Anolis sagrei: one gene and its partners. The protein of the gene in region 3 binds, or shares a complex with, the protein of the main gene of each other region. Links are inferred from orthologs where the notes say so. Each region holds a gene or a part of one and is shown on either strand. Other genes may lie near its edges. The genes, in order: NRP1, SEMA6A and PLXNA2.

Evidence for each region.
Region 1: the proteins of PLXNA2 (region 3) and NRP1 are in contact, whole or in part, in a crystal structure (PDB 4GZA), measured with the Mus musculus proteins. The link is inferred for Anolis sagrei from reciprocal best matches to the Homo sapiens genes PLXNA2 and NRP1. Residues at the interface, in NP_032908.2 of Mus musculus: Asp273, Leu274, Phe275, Glu306, Lys341, Gly342, Gln343, Lys344, Gln345, His348, Pro350; in NP_032763.2 of Mus musculus: Glu78, Arg80, Asp81, Lys83, Tyr84, Asp126, Tyr127, Glu128, Thr129.
Region 2: the proteins of PLXNA2 (region 3) and SEMA6A are in contact, whole or in part, in a crystal structure (PDB 3AL8), measured with the Mus musculus proteins. The link is inferred for Anolis sagrei from reciprocal best matches to the Homo sapiens genes PLXNA2 and SEMA6A. Residues at the interface, in NP_032908.2 of Mus musculus: Ala93, Cys94, Tyr95, Pro96, Lys155, Gln192, Asp193, Tyr194, Asp220, Phe221, Val222, Pro229, Ser230, Asp231, Leu386, Lys389, Val391, Thr394, Lys395, Ala396, Pro397, Val398, Leu407, Asp408, Ile409, Asn410, Gln411; in NP_061214.2 of Mus musculus: Arg108, Met109, Lys110, Gly111, Met162, Ala163, Thr188, Phe190, Leu191, Ile193, Tyr198, Thr206, Arg208, His212, Asp213, Ser214, Glu219, Gln266, Arg267, Glu270, Lys271, Lys393.

Annotation. Positions count from the first base shown.
Region 1 is NC_090026.1:112,929,908-112,933,650, reverse strand, and holds the start of NRP1 (neuropilin-1), read left to right. Parts: upstream 1-1,443; 5' UTR 1,444-2,412; coding exon 2,413-2,479; intron 2,480-3,743. UniProt on the Homo sapiens protein: Cell-surface receptor involved in the development of the cardiovascular system, in angiogenesis, in the formation of certain neuronal circuits and in organogenesis outside the nervous system. Mediates the chemorepulsant activity of semaphorins.
Region 2 is NC_090022.1:243,126,739-243,130,481, reverse strand, and holds the start of SEMA6A (semaphorin-6A), read right to left. Parts: upstream 2,577-3,743; 5' UTR 1,932-2,576; intron 492-1,931; exon of another isoform or gene 300-491; intron 1-299. UniProt on the Homo sapiens protein: Cell surface receptor for PLXNA2 that plays an important role in cell-cell signaling. Required for normal granule cell migration in the developing cerebellum.
Region 3 is NC_090024.1:197,421,525-197,425,267, reverse strand, and holds the start of PLXNA2 (plexin-A2), read left to right. Parts: upstream 1-848; 5' UTR 849-947; intron 948-3,743. UniProt on the Homo sapiens protein: Coreceptor for SEMA3A and SEMA6A. Necessary for signaling by SEMA6A and class 3 semaphorins and subsequent remodeling of the cytoskeleton. Plays a role in axon guidance, invasive growth and cell migration.

The DNA of each region.
Region 1 (3,743 bases), on a different chromosome or scaffold from region 3:
TCATGCCTACCAAACCCTTCCAGTATTTTGTGTGGGTCATAGTATCATAAAATCATATAATCATAGAGTTGGAAGAGACCTCCTGGGCTATCCAGTCCAACCCCGTCAAGAAGTAGGAAAATCGCATTCAAAGCACCCCCGACAGATGGCCATCCAGACTCTGCTTAAAAGCCTCCAAAGAAGGTGCCTGCACTTGGGGGCAGAGAGTTCCACTGCTGAACAGCTCTCACAGTTAGGAAGTTCGTCCTAATGTTCAGGTGGAATCACCTTTCCTGTAGTTTGAAGCCATTGTTCCCCGTCCTGGTCTCCAGGGAAGCAGAAAACAAGCTTGCTCTCTCCCTCACATATTTATATGTGCCCATCATGTCGCCTCTCAGCCTTTTCTTCTGAGAGCTGTTCAGCAGTGGAACTCTCTGCCCTGGAGTGTGATGGAGGCTTTTTCTTTGAAAGCCTTTAAACAGAGGCTGGATGGGTTGTTGTAGGTTTTTCCGGGCTATATGGCCATGTTCTGGAGGCAATTTTTCTCCTGACGTTTCGCCTGCATCTATGGCAAGCATCCTCAGAGGTAGTGAGGTCTGTTGGAAGTAGGAAAAATGGGTTTATATATCTGTGGAATGACCAGGGTGAGACAAAGGACTTTTGTCTGCTGGGGCTAGGTGTGATGCTGGATGGCCATCTGTCAGGGGTGCTTTGAATGCAATATTCCTCCTTCTTGGCAGGGGGTTGGACTGGATGGCCCATGAGGTCTCTTCCAACTCTATGATTCTATATCCAGCTCTTTAAGCCGCTCCTCAGAGGGCTTGTTCTCCAGACCCTTGATCAATTTAGTCGTCCTCCTCTGAGCACATTCCAGCTTGTCAACATCTCCTTTCCATTGTGGTGCCCAGTCATGGGAGTCCCTTGTGCCAAGTTTAGTTCAATTCCATTGTTGGTGGAGTTCAGAATGCTCTTTGATTGTAAGGGAACTACAATTCCCAAATGACAAAATCAGTCCCTCTCCAACCCTAAAAGTATTCAAATTTGGGCTATCGGGTATTTTGGTCCAGTGAATGAAAATACATCCTGCACATCGGATATTTCCATGACGATTCCTAACAGTAGCAAAATGACAGTTATGAAGTCGCAAGGAAAATAATGTGATGTTTGGGGGGTCACCACAACATGAGGAAGTGCATGAGGAAGGTCGAGACCCACTGGACTAGATGACCCTTTGGGGGAGGTCTCCTCCTGCGAGGCTGTGCGCCTGTGCTGCTGCTGCTGCTGCCGCGCCCTCCTTGCCCCCTTCCCCGGCTCTGCTTCACCTGCCTTGCCGAGACTGGGGCACTCTCCGCCAGGAAGCGTCTCCCCTCGGCGTGCCCCTTCTGCTGCTGCTCCTGTTCCTCCTCTTCTTCCCGTCCCTCCTTCCCCATGAGCCACTCCACCCCTTCTCCGACTCCCTCCTCCACGAATTGGTGGATTGGTGGGCTCGTTCTGGTTGTTTGTTGATCCTTCTTCCTTTTTCGGGTGGGAGAAGGCGGGGACTGGCGGCTCCGGAGGCGGCGGCTCCTCTCTTATTATTGGCACCGAGTTGCGCTTCTCTTCCTCAGCCTGCAAGAGAAGGAAGAGCCGCCCGGACGCTGGGCAGAGACAGAGACAGAGAGATACTTCTTGCTCCGCTTCCTCTTGGATTACAGAGCCGACAAGAAGGACATTGGGTGGCCGCTCTTCCTTCCCTTCCCTTGCAGAAGTGTGCCCAAAATCCACATTGGACTCTGTGTGGAGGAGAAGAAGGCAAAGCACCGCCCTCTCCATCAACATCTTCTTCTTCCTCCTCCTCCTTCTCAGACCATCTCTCCAAGAAGGCATCTCTTGGTGCTCCTCTTGCCTCCAAATGCCAGCTGATCGAGAGGCGAAGAGAGCATGAAGTTGGGCAAGAAGTCCTTCTTCTCATTGGCATTGCTTCTCCTTCTTCTCCTTCTTCCTCTCCACAGACAGGCAGTCGTCTCTCCCCGGTGAGACCTTCCTCCTCCTGGAGACGTTTCTCTTCGAGGCAAAGCTGTGAAGGGTTTTGTTTTCCTCCTTCTCCTCCTTCCTCCCTTCTGTTGTGACTTCCTTGCGAGCTTTTCTTTCCCACCCCTTTCCAAGCCAGCTTGGAAATGGCAAAGGCAGTGACGCCTGGAAGAGGAACAAGTGTGGGAAAAGGCAGAGGAAACTGGAGCTGAATGACAGGATGCGGGAGACTTGAGGAGATCTAGTATATCCACACGTCCTTTGCTACCAACGGGACTCTGCTTGCTGCTATTGCTCCTGAAACAGCTTGATGCATATTGCTTGTGTTTTTTGAAACTCCCTTTCCTGGAGGATTTAAGATTGCGTGCGGAAACAGGGATACTCTGTTCTCTTCCTACAATCCTCGAGGACCAAGAAAGGAAGATGGATTGGGGGCTCTTCCTGAACTATGTCGCCCTCACGGCCACCCTTGGCAGGGCTTTGAAGAGCGGTAAGTGGCCACTTTGCATGCTTTCCAGGGTGTATCCAGGTAACTGCCAGGAAAAGGGCCCTTTCCTCTTCTTTTTTTGTTGTGTCAGGAGCGACTTGAGAAACTGCAAGTCGCTTCTGGCGTGAAAGAATTGGCCGTCTGCAAGGACCTTGCCCAGGGGACGCCCGGATGTTTTGATATGTTACCATCCTTGTGGGAAGCTTCTCTCATGTCCCCGCATGGAAAGCTGGAGCTGACAGAGGGAGCTCATCCACGCTCTCGCCAGATTCGAACCTCCGACCTGTCAGTCTTCAGTCCTGCTGGCACAAGGGTTTAACCCACTGCGCGACCTAGGGCTCCCGTGAGATTATTATTATTATTATTATTAATTTCCTGCATTTGTACCCGCCCTTATCCCCCGTGGGGGACTCAGGGCGGCCTAAAGGTTCAAGTCTGCAAGGAGGCACATCACAACATCCCAGATTAGGTGCAACTTTTCTTTTTGTGTGTGTGTGTCCTGTCAGGAGCGACTTGAGAAACTACAAGTCGCTTCTGGTGTGAGAGAATTGGCCGTCTGCAAGGACGTTGCCCAGGGGATACCTGGATGCTTGATGTTTTGCCATCCTTGTGGGAGGCTTCTCTCATGTCCCCGCAGGGGGAGCTGGAGCTAATAGAGGGAGTTCATCCTTTCCTCCTTCCCAGGTAGGTTAAGAAGTCGACCAAAAAGCAGGCTTCAGACTACTCACTCAGAAACAGGACAGATACTACTTTATCACATTAGAGAATGAATCCACTTTCAATCCGGTTGCTGCCTCCCACGGAATTCTGGGGTTTGTAGTTTAAGGAGGAGCCTTTAACAGCTTCACTAAACTACAAACCCCAGAATTCTACAGGAGGCAAAAACCAGATTTAAAGTGGATTCATTCTCTAGTGTGATGTGGTCCATAAAGACTCATACACAAAGTACCCAGAGTTGCACCTAGTCTCACAGGAGCCCTAGGTCGCACAAGGGTTAAACCTTGTGCCAGCAGGACTGAAGACTGACTGGTTGGAGGTTCTAATCCAGGAAGAGTGTGGATGAGCTCCCTCTGTCAGCTCCAGCTCCCCATGCGGGGACATGGGAGAAGCCTCCCACAAGGATGGTAAAACATCAAAACATTCAAGTGTCCCCTGAGCAACACCACAGCTGATTCTCACAAGAGAAACCTCTGGCAATTCCACAAGGTGTCTCCTTTAAAACTGGACAGATGAGTAGTTTTTTTTTAAAGGAGGAGGACTCTTTTCC
Region 2 (3,743 bases), on a different chromosome or scaffold from region 3:
GTTTGGCATTAATTGTAGAATTAATACAGTCCTGCTGGCTATTAGGAATGGTGGGAGTTGAAGTCCAAAACACGTGGAGGGCCCAAGTTTGCCCAGGCCTGATCTACACTGTAGCATTAATGGAGTTTGGCATTAAATGCAGAATTAATGCAGTCCTACCGGCTGTTAGGGATGATGGGAGTTGAAGTCCAAAACACTTGGAGGGTTTGCCCATGGAGCTTGAGCATGCCTGATCTAATACCTCGCTTCTTTACTGGGTCTCCTTGCCGAGAGACGCCCCCTCTCAATCCAATTGTTACCTGAAGACAGCGTCTCCTACTCCTGCGCTTCCATGCTCTACTCAATGGGAAGCTGGGAACACACAACCTTCAGCCACACCTCCTTCCAGTGGGGTCCTCGCTCACTCTCCCCTTCCTTCCCCTCCTCAGAGAAGCGTCCACAACCTCTCTCCCTCCTCTCTCCTCTCCCCTTTCCCTGGCCCAGAAGGGCTTGTCTGCAGACAAAAGGAGACGAGGGGGCTCCATGCACAGGAGCAAGGCACACCGGGGGAGGGGGGGGGGGGTGTGAGGAGAAGGGAGAGGCGGCGGTGGTGACGACCCAATTCTAGCGTCGAGAGAGAAAGGCGGGAGACTGGGCCTTTCCTGAGCCTGAGGCGAGACCAGACCACCCGAGCGGGTCACTCCCCTCTTGCCTGGTCTTGTGAGGCGCGCGCCCCAAACGCCCCTCACGGAGCGCTGACCGCGGGGAGAAGGAGCGCCGGCCCCTCCCTCCTTGTCTCCCTCTTTCCCTCCGCCCCGCAGCCCTCGGGGGGCCACACAGGGGAGGCGCCCCAGGCTTGCGTCAACCTCCGTCCTCCCCAGCGTCGGCAAACAAAGCCGGTGAGGGGCGGTGGCAGAGAGAGCGAGAGAGAGAGAGAGGGAAAGAGAGGGAGACACACAGACACCCTCCCACCCACACACCCACCCTCTTGCCCCGAGGGGCTTGGCCGGGCTGAGGCGGCGCAGAGGCCCCGAAGCCTGAGCCTCTCCCCTCCTCCGCCAGGTTGCCCCACTTCCCGGCCGCACATTGTCTGGGAAACAAAGGCTCCACGCCCAGCCTCGCCCCCCGAGGAAGCCTCGTGTTTATATAGAGGGGCCAAGGCGCGTCACTCCCTGGGGTGTTTGGCCTGGGATGGCCAGGCTATCCCGTGTTCCTGGGGGTGTTCCTCTGGGGTGTTGTTTGGCCTGGGATGGCCAGGGCTCTCTCTCTTCCTCGGGTGTGTTTGGCCTGCCTGGGATTGCCAAGCTCTCTCTGACATCGCCTGGCTATCCCGTGTTCCTGGGGGGTGTTCCTCTGGGGTGTTGTTTGGCCTGGGATTGCAAGGCTCTCTCTGACATAGCCCGCTCTGGGGGTGTTCCTTTGGGGTCTTGTTTGGCCTGGGATTACCAGGGCTCCCTCTTTTTCGGGTGTGTTTGGCCTGCTTGGGATTGCCAGGGTCTCTCTGACCTAGCCTGCCCCCCCCCCCCCAAAAGCTCTCCTCAGCCGCCGCCCCTCGCCTCGCAATGGGAAGCGCGAGAGAACATCCCGGCGCGCTTCCTTCCCTCCAAACAAGCGGACTTGGAGAAAAAGGGGGAAAGGAAGGAAGGAAGGTCGGGGAGGGGCGGGAGCGCGGGTCTGTCTCCCGACACACCGAAGGGAACCCAAGCGCCTCTGGGCACGCAGAAGCCCGGCAAGAAGCGCGCGCGAGAGAGAGAGAGGGAGAAGGGGCAGCTCCGCCGCCGCCGCCAACAAGCCCCCTCAGTTTGGCTTTTGCTTCCTCCTGGCTGTTCTCTTGGCTGCCTCCTTGGAGCAGGATCTCCCCCTTCCACGCCCCCTCCCTCCCTCCTTCCCGGGACAAAAAACCCCAAAGAGCAAGAGAGAGATAGGGAGGCAATGCGAGGCCCCGTCCGTACCTCGTCGTCGGTGCCCGGCCGCTTCCGAGGACAGGACTAGCGGATGGAGGGGCGTCCCATGGAGTAATCCGTTTAAGGGGATGGCTCCGCCAAACTCGCTCCTCGGCAATCCTTTGTCATGGTGAAGCGGCGCCCCGAGAGCTTTCCGGGGTGGGGGCACCAGAAGGAGAAGGAAAAGGAGAAGGAGGAGAAGGAGGCTAAGCTTGCCTCGCCTTTGGGGACCGCGCTGAGTTCATCTCCAAGGAAGGAAAGAAGGGAGGAGGATGGGGCCAAAGGCTTGAAAGTCCCCTTCCGAGGGACGGAGAGGTCTGCCTCGCTCCTCCTGCTTCTCCTCCTCCTCCTCTGCCGCTCATGGAAGGGTCCCTCCTCGGGCGGGACAGCGCCAAGCTGGAAAGAGAGCGGGGCTCCCACTCGCGGCTTCCTTCCTTCCTCGCTGCCTCTCTCTCTCTCTCTCTCTCTTTCCCCGCTGCCCTGCCTCTGGCTTCGCAGCGCGAGTGAGTGGAGCCTCCGTCCCAACTCTTCTTCTTTCTGTCACTGGGAAAAGCTTGGCTTGGCGGGAGGAGGTGGAGTCAAAACCCGGGCTGGATCCCGGACTGGGCTCGCGAACTCTTCCTCTTGACAGCGCTCGACTCTGCTGCGCCTGAAGGAGCGCGTGGGGGGCGGGGCTCCGAGGAGGAGGAGGAGGAGGAAAGAGTGAGTGGGGGGGGGGGGGTGCAAGGCAAAGTGAGAGCAGAGCGGACTGGGGGAGGGGGGGGGGGGACCTGGCCTCTTCCCAAACAGGCTTGGCTGGCACCCAGCATTAGCAGCACCACCGCACGCGCATGCGCACACGGGAAAAAAAGAAAGGCACTGGCGAGAGCGATTAATTGGCTGCCCTCCTTTCTCTCCGTCTAGTGAGGATTATGGGGGGTGAAGTGCAGGGGCATGGCATCGGCTTCTCACTCAGGGTTTTTTTTTGTTTTTGTTTTTGTTTTTAGAGTACTGTCGAAGGCTTTCGTGGCTTTCATGCGTTTTCCAAGATGTACGGCCATGTTCCAGAAGCATTCTCTCCTGACGTTTTGCCTGCATCTGTGGCCGGCATCTTCAGAGGTTGTGAGGTCTGTTGGAAAATAGGACAATTGGGTTCATATATCTGTGTAATGTCTGTTGGAGGAAAGGGTGAATGTTGCAATTGGCTACCTTGACTAGCATTGAATGACCGTGCAGTTACAAGGTGTGGATGCTTCCTGCCTGGGGGAATCCTTTGTGAGTTTTTCGGGCCATGTTCCAGAAGCATTCTCTCCTGACGTTTCGCCTGCAACTATGGCAGGCATCTTCAAAGGTTGTAAAGTCTGTTGGAAACTAGGCAAGTGGGGTTTATATATCTGTGGAATATCCAGGGTGGGAGAAAGAACTCTTTTGTGTTGGAGGAAAGGGTTAATGTTGCAATTGGCCACCTTGATTAGCCTTGTGAATTCTGTTGGGAACCAGGAAAATTGGGTTTATATATTTGTGTAATGTCCAGGGTGGGAGAAAGAACTCTTGTCTGTTGGAGGAAAGGGTGAATGTTGCAATTGGCCACCTTGACTAGCATTGAATGGCCTTGCAGTTACAAGGTCTGGATGCTTCCTGCGTGGGGGAATCCTTTGTGAGTTTTCCAGGCCATGCTCCAGAAGCATTCTCTCCTAACGTTTCGCCTGCATCAGTGGCAGGCATCCTCAGAGGTTGTGAAGTCTGTTGGAAACTAGTCGAGTGGGGTTTATTTATCTGTGTAAGGTCTGTTGGAGGAAAGGGTGAATTGGCCACCTTCATGTGCTTATTTATATTGTTTCT
Region 3 (3,743 bases):
ATCCCGAATTCTTTTCCCGGAGTGTGTTTCAGCGTGCAGACAGCCCCCCCCCCCCCCCGCCCCACTCTCTCTTCGCCCCTGTCCTTTCCCTTTCCCCCCACCCCAGACCCAAACGCCGCCGGATCTATTTTTAAACCCATGCCTGCCCCTTTCGTTTTCCCTCTCCATCTCAGCCAACAAGCCAAGCCCCCCCCCTCCCGATTTTTGTGATTTCTCTTGGCTCTGACGTCGCCTGGAGAGAAAAGAAAGGGAGGTGGGGTGGGTGGGGGAAAGAGAGGAAGAGACTGCAGCAAATTGGGCAAGGCCTGGGATTTGAGGTGCCGGCTGGGGAAGGGTTAACCCCCTGTGACTGTATGTTAATGAGATCCACGGTAATAGGAGGAGGCTGGCTTTGGCGGAGGCCGCCGCCGCTGCCGCTGCTGATGGGGAAAGCGAGGAGCGCAGTGCCAGCCTGGAGCCCGGCGAGGAGCGCACACCAGGCAGGCAGTCAGGCAGGCAGCGGCCCTGGCACCGCGGCTGGAGACTCAGCCCAGTGCGCCTGCCTGGCCGGGTGTGTGTGTGTGAGAGTGTGTGTGTGTGTGAAGCCGAGGGAAGGAGGGCGCGAGGCAGAGGCAGCTCCCCAGCCATGAAGCCAGCGGCGGCGTGAAGGCAAACCCAGGCGAGGCTGCCGGGAAAGCGCCGGTGCCAGGCGGCAGGCAGAGGGTGGGCAAGAGCCGGGAGAAGCAGCTGCCCATCCTCAGCTTGGAAGATCAGCCGGAACCTCTCCAGCGCCACTTTCGGAATACAGATCCGTGCCCTGCTGTGGGTTTCCATGAATCGGGACTCGGTGTGGATTACCGCTCCCTAATTCGGAAGAGGAGGAGGAGGAGGAGGAGGCGGTGGCACCAGCGTGGGGAGAAAGCTGGCTGCCCCCCAAGAGAAGCGGCGGGAGCCGGTCTGGAGAGCGGGTAAGTGGCAAAGGGTTACCCACCAGCCTGGCCCCCTTCCGCACCCGAATGCCCAGCTCAAACTGGGTGGGCGGGGAGGGAGGAGAATTGCCGCGCTCCCACCCATCTTGCTGCTTTTGCCTTCCCAACGCTCTTGGGATTTATTTATTTTTTTTGCACCCCATTTGATAGATAGCTGCCTGTGTCGTCTTTGTGGCGGGGGTGGTTGCTATGCTGTCCCCACCTGCCCTCTCCGGGCACTTCTCCTGGTGGAATTGGCTCCTCTCCTTCAACGCTGAGCTTCCATCAGCCTTTCAGAGAACCCCCCGATTAGGCTTGTCTTTCTGGAAACACGTGTCCCTTCGGAACCCCTTCTTTTAGAGGGGACAAGACTCCCCAGGGGTTCTTTGCAGCTGCAGCGAGAGGGTGAAGGATTTCCATTTTTTGGGAACCTCCCAGCCCCATTCCTCACTCAATCGGATGCTTAGCTTGTTGCTGATAGCTCTGCACATGGGGAAGGCAAGTGCATTAGAGGAAGCAAACAGGTTCCGAAGGGAGGAAGGAAGGGGGAGTTCCCACTGAGACAGCCTGGCTGGTCTTGCAGAGTCTTCAAAGGCTGATGAGACATGGCTATCAAAGCAACCTTCCTAGGCTGAAGAACATCTTTCCAGGGAGTGAATAAATCCATATTCCAAACCGGGAAACCTCAGAGGAAGGCAATGACAAGCCTGCCTTGAAAAAACCTTGCCAAGAAACCCTTAAGAGAGATCTCCATGAGCTGGAGTTGATTTGAAGGCACATGACAAACACCATGAAGTGATGCACAAAGCACCTGCCTCCCAAGGTGTGCATGTGTACACTAAATGAGCCCATCCTTTAAATTTCCTATCTGCTGCATGACAAACAGATGGGTTACTTAGCATCCTTGTTTGCCCAGTCTAATATGGGATACTGTCTTCTCCAGAGCAAGCCTTGAGTGTTTCCAAAGTTTCTGGTATGTATGGATGGTTAAGCGCTCCTACTTCAGCACACAGTGGCATTAGACAAAAACTCATGGATTGACAGGGAACAAACAGATATTATAGTGGGGTGGGGTAGGGGTGGGAGAGAGAGATATCTGTTGTGTTGAGTGAGTTTAACATGTGAGCCAAAGAAGGTACTAGACAAGGCTGCTATATGTTCATGTGTTGCACACGTGCAAGAGTGCACATACACCTGTGTTTTGTTTCCTTGCATTTCTGCAGGATTTATGTAAGTCATCAAAGAAATGGGTAAGTTTAGCAGCTCTGCCTGATTGTACTTTATGAGCTCTCATCAACTGGATGACACTGTCTGACCAAGTTCAGTAAATGACCTACTTCTCCTCTCTGGTCATGCAAATGATAGCTATATTTTATAGAGAGCAATAGCCATTCAAAAGCAGGGTGTTGATATTTTAAACAATTATTTCCTGTTATATTTCCCATAGTGAGCTCCTCAATCCTTATGTGAACCTCTGGCTCTGTAAAGGTGGGGTTATTCCTTTATTATATACATGATATGAGTAAAGGAAAACAGCTAGCTCAAGATAAAAGTTCAGTACAGAGTTTGGTTTTTGAGATATATAGCACCTGGCAAACACCTTTCTTAACTCTATGCAATGGTCACTACAAAAAGATGAAGTCATTCTATTTACGGAACTCTTTATTGCTCATGTCATTTAGATTTGTAGAGTCTTGCCCCATCCCAGCTAAACTTACAGGTAGTTTTTTTTTTTTTTTTTTTTTTGCTGTGGAAACATGTTACAGATGCTGCTTTAGAATCTGAACAGATTCCACAAAAGTGAGTCCTTTCTCCCCTCTCCTGCTGGTGATGCTTCTTTGTTAACTCTATAGTCAGCTCATCTCCTCAACTGAAGAATCTGAACTTCCTAGGCGCAAAGAAAGCAAGGAGCAAAACTCAACATCCTAAACTCCCTGAGAGCATCAAATAAATGCCATCATCTTCCTTTGGCTCTTTAAGTGTGTTCAGAAAATTTCATGCATGGGACAATATAGCTAAAGGAAACAATCTTTACAAGTGAGTGGACCACAGAGTCTTTCAAAGAGGTCTGTTTTATTCTAAGAGACACAATGCTGAAAGGAGTCGTAAAAACTGAAAAATCAATTGGGCATTTGTTTACTTTCCTCTCTTAGGAGGTTGGCATCTTCAATGCCCCATGATAATATTTAAGACTTTGGTTGACAGATGTTGGAAAGAATTCTAAGGCTGTTAGGACGCCAACATAAAACACTCTAAAGCAATGAGGAGGTGTTGTACATGTTCTGTCAGAGCTTCCCATAATATACCAGCACTCCAAGAAGAATGATGAATGTGGGTTAAAAATTATTCCAAGGCATCCATAACTAGTGCTTATGTACCATGTCTGACTGTCTTTGCCCACTTGTGCAGCTGTTCAAAAGTGGATCTTCTCAGAAGCCAGGCATGTAGTGTGTGTGTGGGGGGGGGGGGGCTTGAGGGGCATCAACCCTCCTCTGAAATTCTCAGGGTGGTCAACAAGAAGACCTTACTGGTACATTATTTAAACTGTTATGTTTATTCATATCATGATCTGCTCACCATGCTCAATATATCCCATAGGCATGGGGGTATTAGGATAATGATACAAAAGGTTTGCTAGAGTAGATCCTCCCCCCCCCCCCCCAATCAAAATCCTGGCTATGGGCCTGTCAGAAGCAATCAAAAATTATGCCAGGCTTCACTACTGACAGTGTAAATTATTACTTCCTTATTTTCAGTTGCACTGTTTCCAATGTTGCCCTGTATTGGTGTATGTAT